Drosophila melanogaster: one gene and its partner. The protein of the gene in region 2 purifies or fractionates together with the protein of the main gene of each other region. This does not show direct contact. Each region holds a gene or a part of one and is shown on either strand. Other genes may lie near its edges.

Region 1 (5,333 bases), on a different chromosome or scaffold from region 2:
TGTCCTTAGTCAACTGACGGGACATTAGTTCGACTCATAAATAAAACAACAATTTTACTATATGTATGTAAAAGTTTAGACTGTCGTACCAAGGCATAAATTAAAAACAGGAAAGGTAGCTGGTCACCAGTATTTATTATTAAAAAAAACACGTACACATGCATGTGTACTAATTGTACTTAATGATCAAACCCAACGAAACAAAAATTTCTTTTCTTGTACTCTCAATTAATTTGTTCGAGTCTTCTTATCGTAATAAAGCAGAATATAAATGTTGTACAAATCGTTATCCAAAACTCAACCAAAAAGATGCTTTAATACTTTAAAATTTACTTATTTGTAGCAGCTTTCCGCATAGTTTAAAAAAAAAGTGTTAAACTCTGGTTACTTATGTTAAGCTACTTTGCATATCTTCTCTGCATTATCTTCTCTTCTCCAAAAGGTTGATTTAAAACTCAAATTCATTTGCGTAAATGAAAAAAAATGAAATGAAAAGACGGGCATGGTTCGATGGTTGAACCGACCAAGAATATATATTCTTTGTTTGCTTGCAAATGTCTCATTAAATATGTAGACATATTTTAAAGACTTTTATAGTGCACCACAATTACGGAAATCATAGCTATAATCAAATTTAGTAAATTAAATACAAAAAAAGAAATGTTTCATTATTGTTATTCATAAAAAGGTTTATGCGCATGTTTTTTGGTTGGACTCATATTAGGCGTGGTCAAAGCTTGAAACAAAATTGCACTCTAAATTAGATTTTTTATTATAGGCTTGTTAAATTCAGCCTGGATAGGCTGAATTGTTCAAAAGTGTGGGAGTGATCGTTTTGCCATGCCCACTCTAACCGCCCAAAACTGCCACGCCCAAATTTTGTAAAATTTTTCGAAATTTTTACATAATCTTGTTAGTCTTGTAAGTTTCCATCGGTTTGCCAAAAAACTAACTTTAGCCACACCCACTCTAACGCCCCAAAGCTACCATTTTTTTCTCATTTTATTTCCCAATATCGATATCCCAGAAAAATGATGAAATTTCTGCTTTGCATTCTATCTATCTGAGTAACGGGTACCTGAAAGTCGGGGAACTCGATTATAGCATTCTCTCTTATTTTTGTTTAAAATTTGCGTGTCCCTTGTTCATTGAGAAAGATGTACATATGTACATACTTGTGTCCTCTTCAATTTGCAGTAATTTTCTATGCTCATCCTTCAACAGTAATTGAAAAGCTTTATCTCAGCGATCTTCTATAAAAACATACGAACTCCAATAGAAAATGCTTTTTAGTCTCACTCACCTCACGCAATTCACATAGTAATCTTAACTTAATACATACATATATATTACTGTACAGTCGTGGGAATTGGCAACTTCATAATTAGCGTCGAATTCACAGCCGTGAAGACGTCTGTCAAAACCGGCTAGCATGCGGCTGACGCATTTGTCCCAAACACTTGTTTAAAACACCAGCAGCTGCAAGGAAGCCGACGCCAATTTAGGGGTTGTTTCCCTACGTCGTAGTCAGTTGGTTCTCTTAGCCATTTGTCTCTTTGCCGTTGGCTGACGACTTGCCGCCTTCAAGTTTGTTTCAGTTTCAATTTGACCGTCGAATGCAGAGAACGTCGGTACACCGCTCTTGCTATTGCTATCGGCCAGCTAAAACAAAAACGACCTGAAGCCATAAAAACGCGTGTGAATGAGAGGCCAACGAAATATCCATAGCATAAGTGAACAGTGAGCCAGTGAGCGCTTTAAATAGAAAACGCGAAATAGTCAACTCGATGGAACGCAAGTGTAGGAAATAAATCGCCGTCTAGATTATTATAGCAAAATTGCCAAAATAACCACTTGTGAGCCAAAGTGACACAATGTGAAGAGCAAACGAAAATATAAAAATAAATTAAAAAACAAATAAATAAATGCAATAGGGTTAACTTAAACATCACAGGGGAAGGATTATCAAAGGCCCTGATCCAAAATAAAACGGTATAACCTAAATATCATAATCATGCATACCATAATACAAACTACTAGGTTATGTGCTTGCAACAAGTAGTAAGCGCCCAAAAAAAATGTAATAATTTGTCCGAGAAATAATATTGGAAAGCACTTTTAAATGAGCAAGCGCTCAAATATTGGTTGCAAAAATATATAAAATCTTTTATACCTATATGTATATTTATATATAAGAGTGGATATACGCGAACTTTTGTGCACACATATAGAAATTTTCGTACATTGAGTGTACGCGCACAAATACATACATATTTACACATGTGTGTGTGCATACATACATCTATACAGCAGTGCCGGCAGAAAAGAGTCGGGCTAAAAGAAATTATATCACTGCCCGAATCCGTTTTTAGAAATAGTTTGCAATGAATTTTCGTTGCTTTATATTGTCGATGTATAAATGCACATATATCTTTACGTATATATTAAACAACATACATATGTACATATGGAAGAAGCCAGCTAATATAAAAGCGCACACATGGCGTTTAAGTAAAAGAGACTAAAACTATATTTTTAAAACTCATGGGCTAATAAGGTTAGCAGTGTTTCTTAAACCTTAACAAGGACATTGATTTTTTACTTATTATCAAGCCGAGCAACGATTTTAATACTTTGAAGCCTATTAGATTAAAATTTAATATTTAAACGAAACAATTATTTAAAAACAAAATTTAAAACAATCGGTTACCTAACAGAATACAAATTTTTTAAGGATAGGCTTAATGTGTCAATAAATTCTTACTGTTATCCGAATGAACAGAGGGAAATTCAATACAAACTTTTGGTGAAATACGAAAGTACGTTGTGCTTTTAGGACGGCCTATTTACCAAAACATATGACTTGCCATTGGTTAAAGTCACATTCTTCCCTTAAATGGCTTATCTATCACTTCAATACTACATTTGTTAAACCGGTTAATCGTAGAGTAAAAGATTCTACTAGATTCGTTGAGATGCATGTAACAAGCAGATGGAAGTCTTTTCGACCCTCCAAATGATATATATTCTTGATCAGTATCACTAACCAAATGGACCTAGTTAAGTCAGTACCTAGAAGATAAGAACTGATATAAAGCATGCAGATTCTAGAGACGGATGAAATTGTTTGTTTGGGAGGCTTGCGACGCTGCGCAAGTTTCCGTCTAATTGTTACCACGCCCACTCTAACGACCAAAGCCGACCAAAACTGTAACGCCCAAACTTTTGATAATGTTTTAATATTTTTCCATTTTTGTATACGTTTTATAAATTTCCAACGATATGCCAACAAAATTTTGCCAGGCCCACTCTAACGCCTACAAACCACCCAAAACTGCCACGCCCACACTTTTGAACAATTTTTATTTCATTATTTTTTTTCACATTTTCTATCACTATTGCAAACAAACTTTAAATTTTTCGTTCAAGCTGCGAGTTGAATTACGGGTATCTGTTAGTTGGGTCTATTGTCTTTGTCAAATTTGATCGATATTGCACATATCCTGTTCCACCCATAATAATGGCGTTCTCTTTTTGAATTATTCGTATAGCAGCTAAATGAGATAGTGTTTCGATCCGACCCTTTTCGATTTATATACTATCTGCCAAAGAAAAAAAGGTTTATGGATATCGATACTATTTATCATAGCAAATATACGTGACCAAAATGTTGTGGCTAATCAATAGCAAGACAAAAAGAAAACACAACAACAACTTTTTAAAATCTTTCGACGTGGCAGTGGTGGGCGTTAGAGCTTTCTAGCTTTTATAATTCCTGAAATCTCGACGTTCATACGGACGGACAGGCAGGTGGACGCACAGACGGATGGACATTGTCAGAACCACTCGGCTAATGGACCTTGATTTAGAATAATTGTACTAAATATAAGCCGAAATTTTTCCGTTTGCCTGTTATATACATATACTTTTCAACCTCCTCTAGGGTAGTGTATAGCTGAAACGCCATAATCAAGTCTCTCGACTATTAGATGCCTTCCCTTAGCAAAAGAGAATGCGAAATAGATTGATATATTCTAGTTGGAAAGGAACTGTCCTAGACTGGACAGGTGCACAGCAGCGGTTGCATTTATTGCTTTCGACTTTAAATACAAACTTCTGAAGTAAGGGGTTATTCGGACAATTTGAGTATATGATGATTTAAACAGCTCAAAGAAAGCTGGGTTCGGAAAAATCGAATTTTTGAAATTTAAAAGCTGGAATCGTTTGCCCATGTTTGCCCACCAATTAGTTTTTTTTGCCCACGTCCAGTTTTTGAGATATGAATTTTCGAAAAAACTGTTCTTTGTAAGAAACTTTGCTTTTGGCGCCACAACTTATAGTTATTACATACATATACAACTTTAGTTTTAATAGGTGAAAAATCGAAAAAACCATTATTAAGGGGTGGGCAATCAAAATTATTTATTTTTAAGGGTGGGTAAACGAAAAAAAAACAAATTTTAAAGGGTGGGTAAACGAAATAATTTATTTTTAAAGGGTGGGTAAACGTTAAAAACTGATTTTAAAGGATGGGCAATCGAAATTATTTAGTCTTAAGAGTGGGCAAACGTTAAAAACAAATTTTAAATGGTGGGCAAGCGAAATAATTTATTTTTAAAGTGTGGACAAACGTTTTTATTGCAAATTTTTATTTTAAAGAGGTGGGCTAACGAAATTGGTTATATTTTAAGTGTTGGCAATCGAAAAAAATTTAAAAATTAAAAAAAAATTTTTGAAAAAAGTGAAATTTTTGATTTTCGAATATTTTTGCACTTTTGGAAAATTCATATTTCAAAAACTGGACGTGGGCAAAAAATACTAATTGGTGGGCAAACATGGGCAGAAAATGGACAAACGATTCCAGCTTTTAAATTTCAAAAATTCGATTTTTCCGAACCCAGCTTCTTTGAGCTGATTTAAACATGTTTACTTCCATGTCTCTATAGGGGTTTGTATTTTGTGGCGTCACATACAATAGATCGAATAATTATCAAAAGTATGAGAGTTGCAATCCTCTCAGTAAATCTTGCGCTTTGTAATTGTCACTAAAATCTGTTCGCTTAGTCTAAACTTTATAGTTCATATAAAGTTCCCGATATCTCGAAGTTCCTACGGACACACAATAACATTTATGCTATCTTGTTTACTTACTACAATATTTATGTATCTATCTAACCAGTCGTGGTACTCTACTATATCGATATTTTTTTTCTTATATAAGCAAATGTAACGTACCAAAAACTACTACTAACACTATTTCTTCTTCCTTTTTTTTCAGAATTAAAAAAAAAACGATTGTTTATTATTTATGGTAAAATAATACACCGTAGTAA
Region 2 (5,472 bases):
TGGTTCTACAACAGCGAGGAGTGCGACCGCATCAGCGGCTTGGTGAACGGGCTGCTCAAGTCCAAGGATCAGGGAACGAATGGCCAGGCCCAGCGTCACGTCTCCGCGCCCCAGCAGCCAAAGCAGGACAGCAGCCAGCCGGCCAGCATATTCAACATGCTGACCAAGGCCCAGAAGGACTACAATGCCCAGGTGAGCGGCGGGCAGCCGAAGACGCCTTCGGCGGAGAACGTAACGGCCGGCAATGTGTTGAAGTTCTTCGAATCGGCCAAGCAGGCCACGGCAGAGTCACTGTTCCACCGCGTCCAGCCGCTCTCCGTGGACCAGCTGGAGAAACAGCAGCGGGCAGCCACGCCTGGCGAGGATCTGTTGCCCCCGGCAGGCAGGGACAATCACGAGAGCCGGCTGTCGCCCTTCCAGAAGATGCAGCAGCTTAACATTCAGCTCCTGAGCGACCTGAAGATCGGTAAAAGCTACGCTACGGCTCAATCTCCGACAGTCGCCCCGTCCTCGTCGGCGCTGATGGCCAACGACGATGCCGGCAAGTGCTTGCGGAGACTGCTGGCTGGCGACAAGCCCGGGCCGGCCCTCATGCCGCCCACCATGTTCGACGCGCCCAACAACGGCAATCCGGAGCCACAGCAGCCACAGCAGCCACAGCAGCCACTGCTGAACTCGACGCAGTTCGTCCAGGCCTTCACGTACCTTATCCAGAACGATAAGGAGTTTGCCAACAAGCTGCACAAGGCCTACCTGAACGGCTGTTCCAATCTACTGCTGGACTCCAGCTCCACATATCAATAAACAGAAATATTCAACATTTCCGAATTGCAGCCCATATTTTCATTTGTTCGCATGGAGTTCGAGTTCAAGCCGAGTTAATTTACAAAATGTAATAGCTGTAAGCCGACAAGGGCAGTCGTAGATTTAAAATCTAGAAGCCCCGCCGGAGAAGGACGGCATCCATTTCCAGAGCAACCTTAAGAGTTAACTAACGTAGTTGGTTTTGTGAAGTATTCGTATTTATTTACAAAATGGTTAACTAGGCCGAAGGGGCGTAGAAAAGGTAGTTGAATGGCAAACAGAATTCAATAAACATTAATTTAGTAACAATAAATAACAACGCTTTTATTTAGGCCAATACCTTCAGCTTGCAGAGCAGGTAGTACAGAAAACAAAACAGCCACAGGCTGAAGTCGACGTGGCTCCTGCCCGCCGCCGCGGACGTGGCCACCGTGGTCAGGTTCTTGCCGTATCCCTCGAAGGACACCACGCACTGGTAGGCATCGGGATCGTCGTCGGTGTCGTAGGCCGCCACCACGGCGCTGCCATCGAAGTATCCCTCCTCGTTCTCGTACACCATGGGCTCCCGCTTCACCACGTCCATGTCGTTGGATCTGTAATAGGAGCGGAGTTGAGTTGGGACGTTGTTTACTACAAGGCTGTCTTACGACAAGGCAGGCGCTCGTCCTTACATTATCGTGATGGTGGGCCTGGGATACACGTTCGTCACGGTGCAGTTCAGCTGCGTCTCATTGTGGATCGTCTTGTGGGACAGCTCCAGGGTGTAGTTCCTCAGGTCTATGACCTGAACCCTCTGGTGGCTGGAGAAGGTGTTCAGCGAGGTCTGCACCACGCACTTGTAGTCGCCGGTGGTGGCGATCGTGGGGTTGATCAAAGCCAGCGAGCTGTACTGCTTGCTCGGCTCCGTGGAGCTCTCATAGGTGCTGTCAATCTCGTTCCTGAACTCGGGCTATCAAGGAGGGGAAAGCGGTTAGTATCTTAAGCGCACCACACCGTTTGGTTCACTCACGATGGCATATGGAGGTGTTCCGAAGATCCACTGGTATATGGACTTGTCGTCTCTGTACCATTTGACGGTGATGAACTTCGGGCTCTCCTCCACCTCGTAGTCGCAGTCCAGGATCGTGGGCTCCATCTCCTCGTTCTGAAGGACTATAATCTTGTCCTCGGACTCATCCCTCGTGGGATAGCATAGCGCATCTGGGGGAGAGCGAATATTACTGATTAGAACGCAGAATTCAGAAACGAAACGAAAAGCTTTTAGCACGACGAGGTCTCGAAATTACAGAACACGCGCGGTATTATTTGGAATATATGTACATATGCAGCACAGGCAAATCCAAAACACATTGTACACAAAAATCTATATAATTTGGCGAAAGCGTATATTTACGAGAAGCGAAAACGCGATGAGCGGATGCCTGTTTCGTTTTAAAAATAGACACTAATAACAAACAAAAGCTAGAAAATTGAACATTTTTCATTCGGCAGTTTGTCATCATGTGTGCCAAAATTCTGAAAACTCTGTTCAATTTTATTAGGTTCCTTTCGCTGGAATCTTTTGCTTTCCACTTAGCATCTATTGCTCCGACTTCAAAACCACTGGCGCTTTTTCCACATTGAAAAACATATAGTTTCGAACACGAATAATTGCACGTAAAATCCTTCAGCCCGTTCAAATCCACAAATTAAAGGATAATCGAATCTGCACATATTGTTTATATATTGTTTATATATTGTTTATATTCCGTTTTAGCACATGTTAACTCAGAACCGAATGTGGATATACGTTCGTATTTATAGATATCCGATTTGTCATTATTTTTCTCAAGGTTTGCGCATTCGAAATTCGTTTATATGCGCCTTCCGAATGATTTCATTTCTTAATTTAAAAATCGCGTTTCCCATATCGGTTGCTGGCTGGATCGCCACAGGATCTGGCTGTACCTCTGTGGAGCAGTCCGATGGCCAGAATGGCGATCAGCAGGGTATCCATAACGGTCACTATCCTATCTACACTTCCACTTCCACTCGTATGCCAGACTTCTCAACCGATCCTAACTCAGCGGTCCGCTCGGCATGGTACAACTAAGGCAACTAAATGCTCTTGGCCGCCAGAGAACCGAAAACTGAAAACCGAGAAATGAGGAACGAGAGCTCTTGGCCAAGACCACGCAGCGTAACCAAACGAATTCGAATTTAGCCGAGATAATGCCGGCACTTCCTCTCCGGCACACGATCCTCCTACCCTAACCCTCCTCCTCCTCGCATAGCCCGTGCCACTTGACTTGTGCGCGACTCTCGGAGCACAAGCACGATCTTTGCATGGACATGTGGGGAGATCGCTCCGCAGCTGGCCAGGCACCACCACCAACCAAGTCGCCCTGCATGTGTGGGGGTTGGACACAACCTTTCCGCTTCGATACTCTCCGCTGCTCCTAGCTGCCGTTGACTATTTGAAAACCAGTTGGCCGCCCAGCTGAGGCGCACTCCTACAACTAGGGATAGTCGAGGGTAACATGCAAGACCGTTAAAGGACAGGGGGTGTCGAGCGTAGTCCTTAAGGACCTTTTCTTCTTCTCGACCGAAGTTAAGGGCTGTTGTAACGATTGGCGTTAATAATATGCTGTCTCCATGGCAATAGGGATCATTAACATTCCTGTAATTCTGTTGAAATTCCGATAGAAGGCATTTTTAAGTCGAATTTCTCGAATTTGTTTACAATTGAATAAATCTTAGGGTATTAGCCGTTCAGTTACTCATAGGTTTAAGTATATCCATATGCTTGAGTTTTTGTAAAGACTTAGTTAGTCGTTCCAACTCGGTGATTAGCAAAAGAAAAAGCCTTCACTATACCAAGTTAGTGTGTAAGTGCAACACACACCTATGCATGATAAACCCTTTTTCTTTACTTTATGTTTTCCAAACTAACGTTAGTTGTTTTCAGAATGACTCAATAGAACCTGATACTTGTTCGATGCATGTAGTTCCAGGCTCATTTGCACCCACAACTAGGTTGAAACCTACTTAAACTAGCTTCCCATTTAGATGCTCTATAACTAAATAATATGTTGCTGTTTTTACAGGATTTTCGGGGTGGGTTTGAGATCGGGTTAAGCAAACAATGCAGGTGGGTTTCGTTCAGGTCGATCACCTCCAACATCTGGTTACTATACTATTTATTAAATGTAAAATGAGTTCATATCTTTGCGTTTGATACAATTACAATTGGAAAGGTTATAATTTTACACATATATTGGATATATTTTAACCTAAAATGTAACACAGTAACTTATTCCAAAACTTTCGGAATGTCGTAATGTTGTATTATTATGATTGCCATAACAATTCTCCGATTTACATAGACTTGCGATTTAAGTAATGATTACTACAAAGTAGAGTTTCTTTTTGCACGAGTGTTAGTTTGAGCATGATGTGCATCTATTAGGTGGCTTTGTTTTCCTAGAGACTTAGTCGTTCCAATTCGTTGATTAAGAAAAGAAAAGGCTCACTCTACCATGCAAATGTGTAAAATCCACAAAGGCAACTAAGACCATTTTTCAACTGGAAAAAGAGGCACATTCTAAACTTTTACCTCGTATGTTTGACTAAACTGATCCCAATGAAATTGTTTCCGAAGATAGATACATTGAATTTGGAACTGTTTTTCTTTGAAAATTTAACTAAATGGCTTCAGCACATGGAACAACCAGCCTATCCTATTAGCAATCCAGCATTAGGGTGTCCAAAAAAAAAAGGACTTCAGCGCAGAGTAAATAAAAATTAGGCAGGACTCTGATTAGCAGGAATTAACTAATCGAAATAATCCGCAGAGCAAATAATTGTTTCCGAAAACAGGGGTTGTATCCTGCCAGTGACTTTAAACAATGTTTCAATCAGCCCAATGTTATAAACAAGAAAAGATAGTAAGGTGTCTCTTATCCATTGTGTGCGGTACAACACCATTTGTTTTATCAAGTTGGCGAAGTGCTGTACTCGTGATGACGGACTGTCCGATACCCTTTCCATTTCATATATGAAGTTTAAATATATTTTATAATTTATGTTACTTTGGCTGTTCCTTAAGAGTTATTGCAACGTAAAGAGGATTTTCATTTTTCTTACTTTTTATATTATCCCAGAGAAGCATTTCCTTTAATCGCTCAGACAGGACATCCCAGCGTCATGGTTGCCCGATAAGCCAATTTAATCTTCTGAGTGTTGCTTTTTGAGGCCTGTGAAAATTGGTGCACTCAAAGAAAAGTTCGCTTAAAGATGGAGCTTGGAAAATATTCAGATTTTGAAGAAATATTCATTGAAAAGAAGATTTCTGAGTGAAGATTAGATCAGAGCCAACAGACAGCGATGCAATCAATGAAATTAAAACCAAAACCAATTCTTTAGACATGCTGTGACAAGTCAATTGGGGAAATGCGGTGAATTTTCGCGCAGTGCACGACACGCGCCGGAAAGTCAGATTTCCACCCCTATGTCGAGTGGAGCTCGTTAGGACCGCCTCCAAACGCGGAAACGAATGAAATTTTCCGTCCCGCTCTCCCGAGACAAGTGCAGCATCCTTGTTCGTCCAACGTGGATGTCCTGTAGTTGATACAATCGTAATCGAAGCTTATTTATTCAAGGGCAGTTAAAAGTGTGTGCGGCCGCGGA

What was found. The genes of interacting proteins can lie anywhere in the genome.
Region 1: the proteins of CG5597 (region 2) and nrm purify together in Drosophila melanogaster (affinity purification with western blotting; one large-scale study listed by BioGRID). This does not show direct contact.

What each region holds. Positions count from the first base shown.
Region 1 is NT_037436.4:22,996,775-23,002,107, forward strand, and holds the start of nrm (neuromusculin), read left to right. Parts: upstream 1-1,597; 5' UTR 1,598-1,992; intron 1,993-5,278; 5' UTR 5,279-5,333.
Region 2 is NT_033778.4:23,884,406-23,889,877, reverse strand, and holds CG5597 (uncharacterized protein), read right to left. Parts: upstream 2,906-5,472; 5' UTR 2,801-2,905; coding exon 2,752-2,800; intron 2,005-2,751; coding exon 1,814-2,004; intron 1,754-1,813; coding exon 1,476-1,753; intron 1,398-1,475; coding exon 1,133-1,397; 3' UTR 1,101-1,132; downstream 1-1,100. Other genes in the region: DCP1 (decapping protein 1), read left to right, coding at 1-804.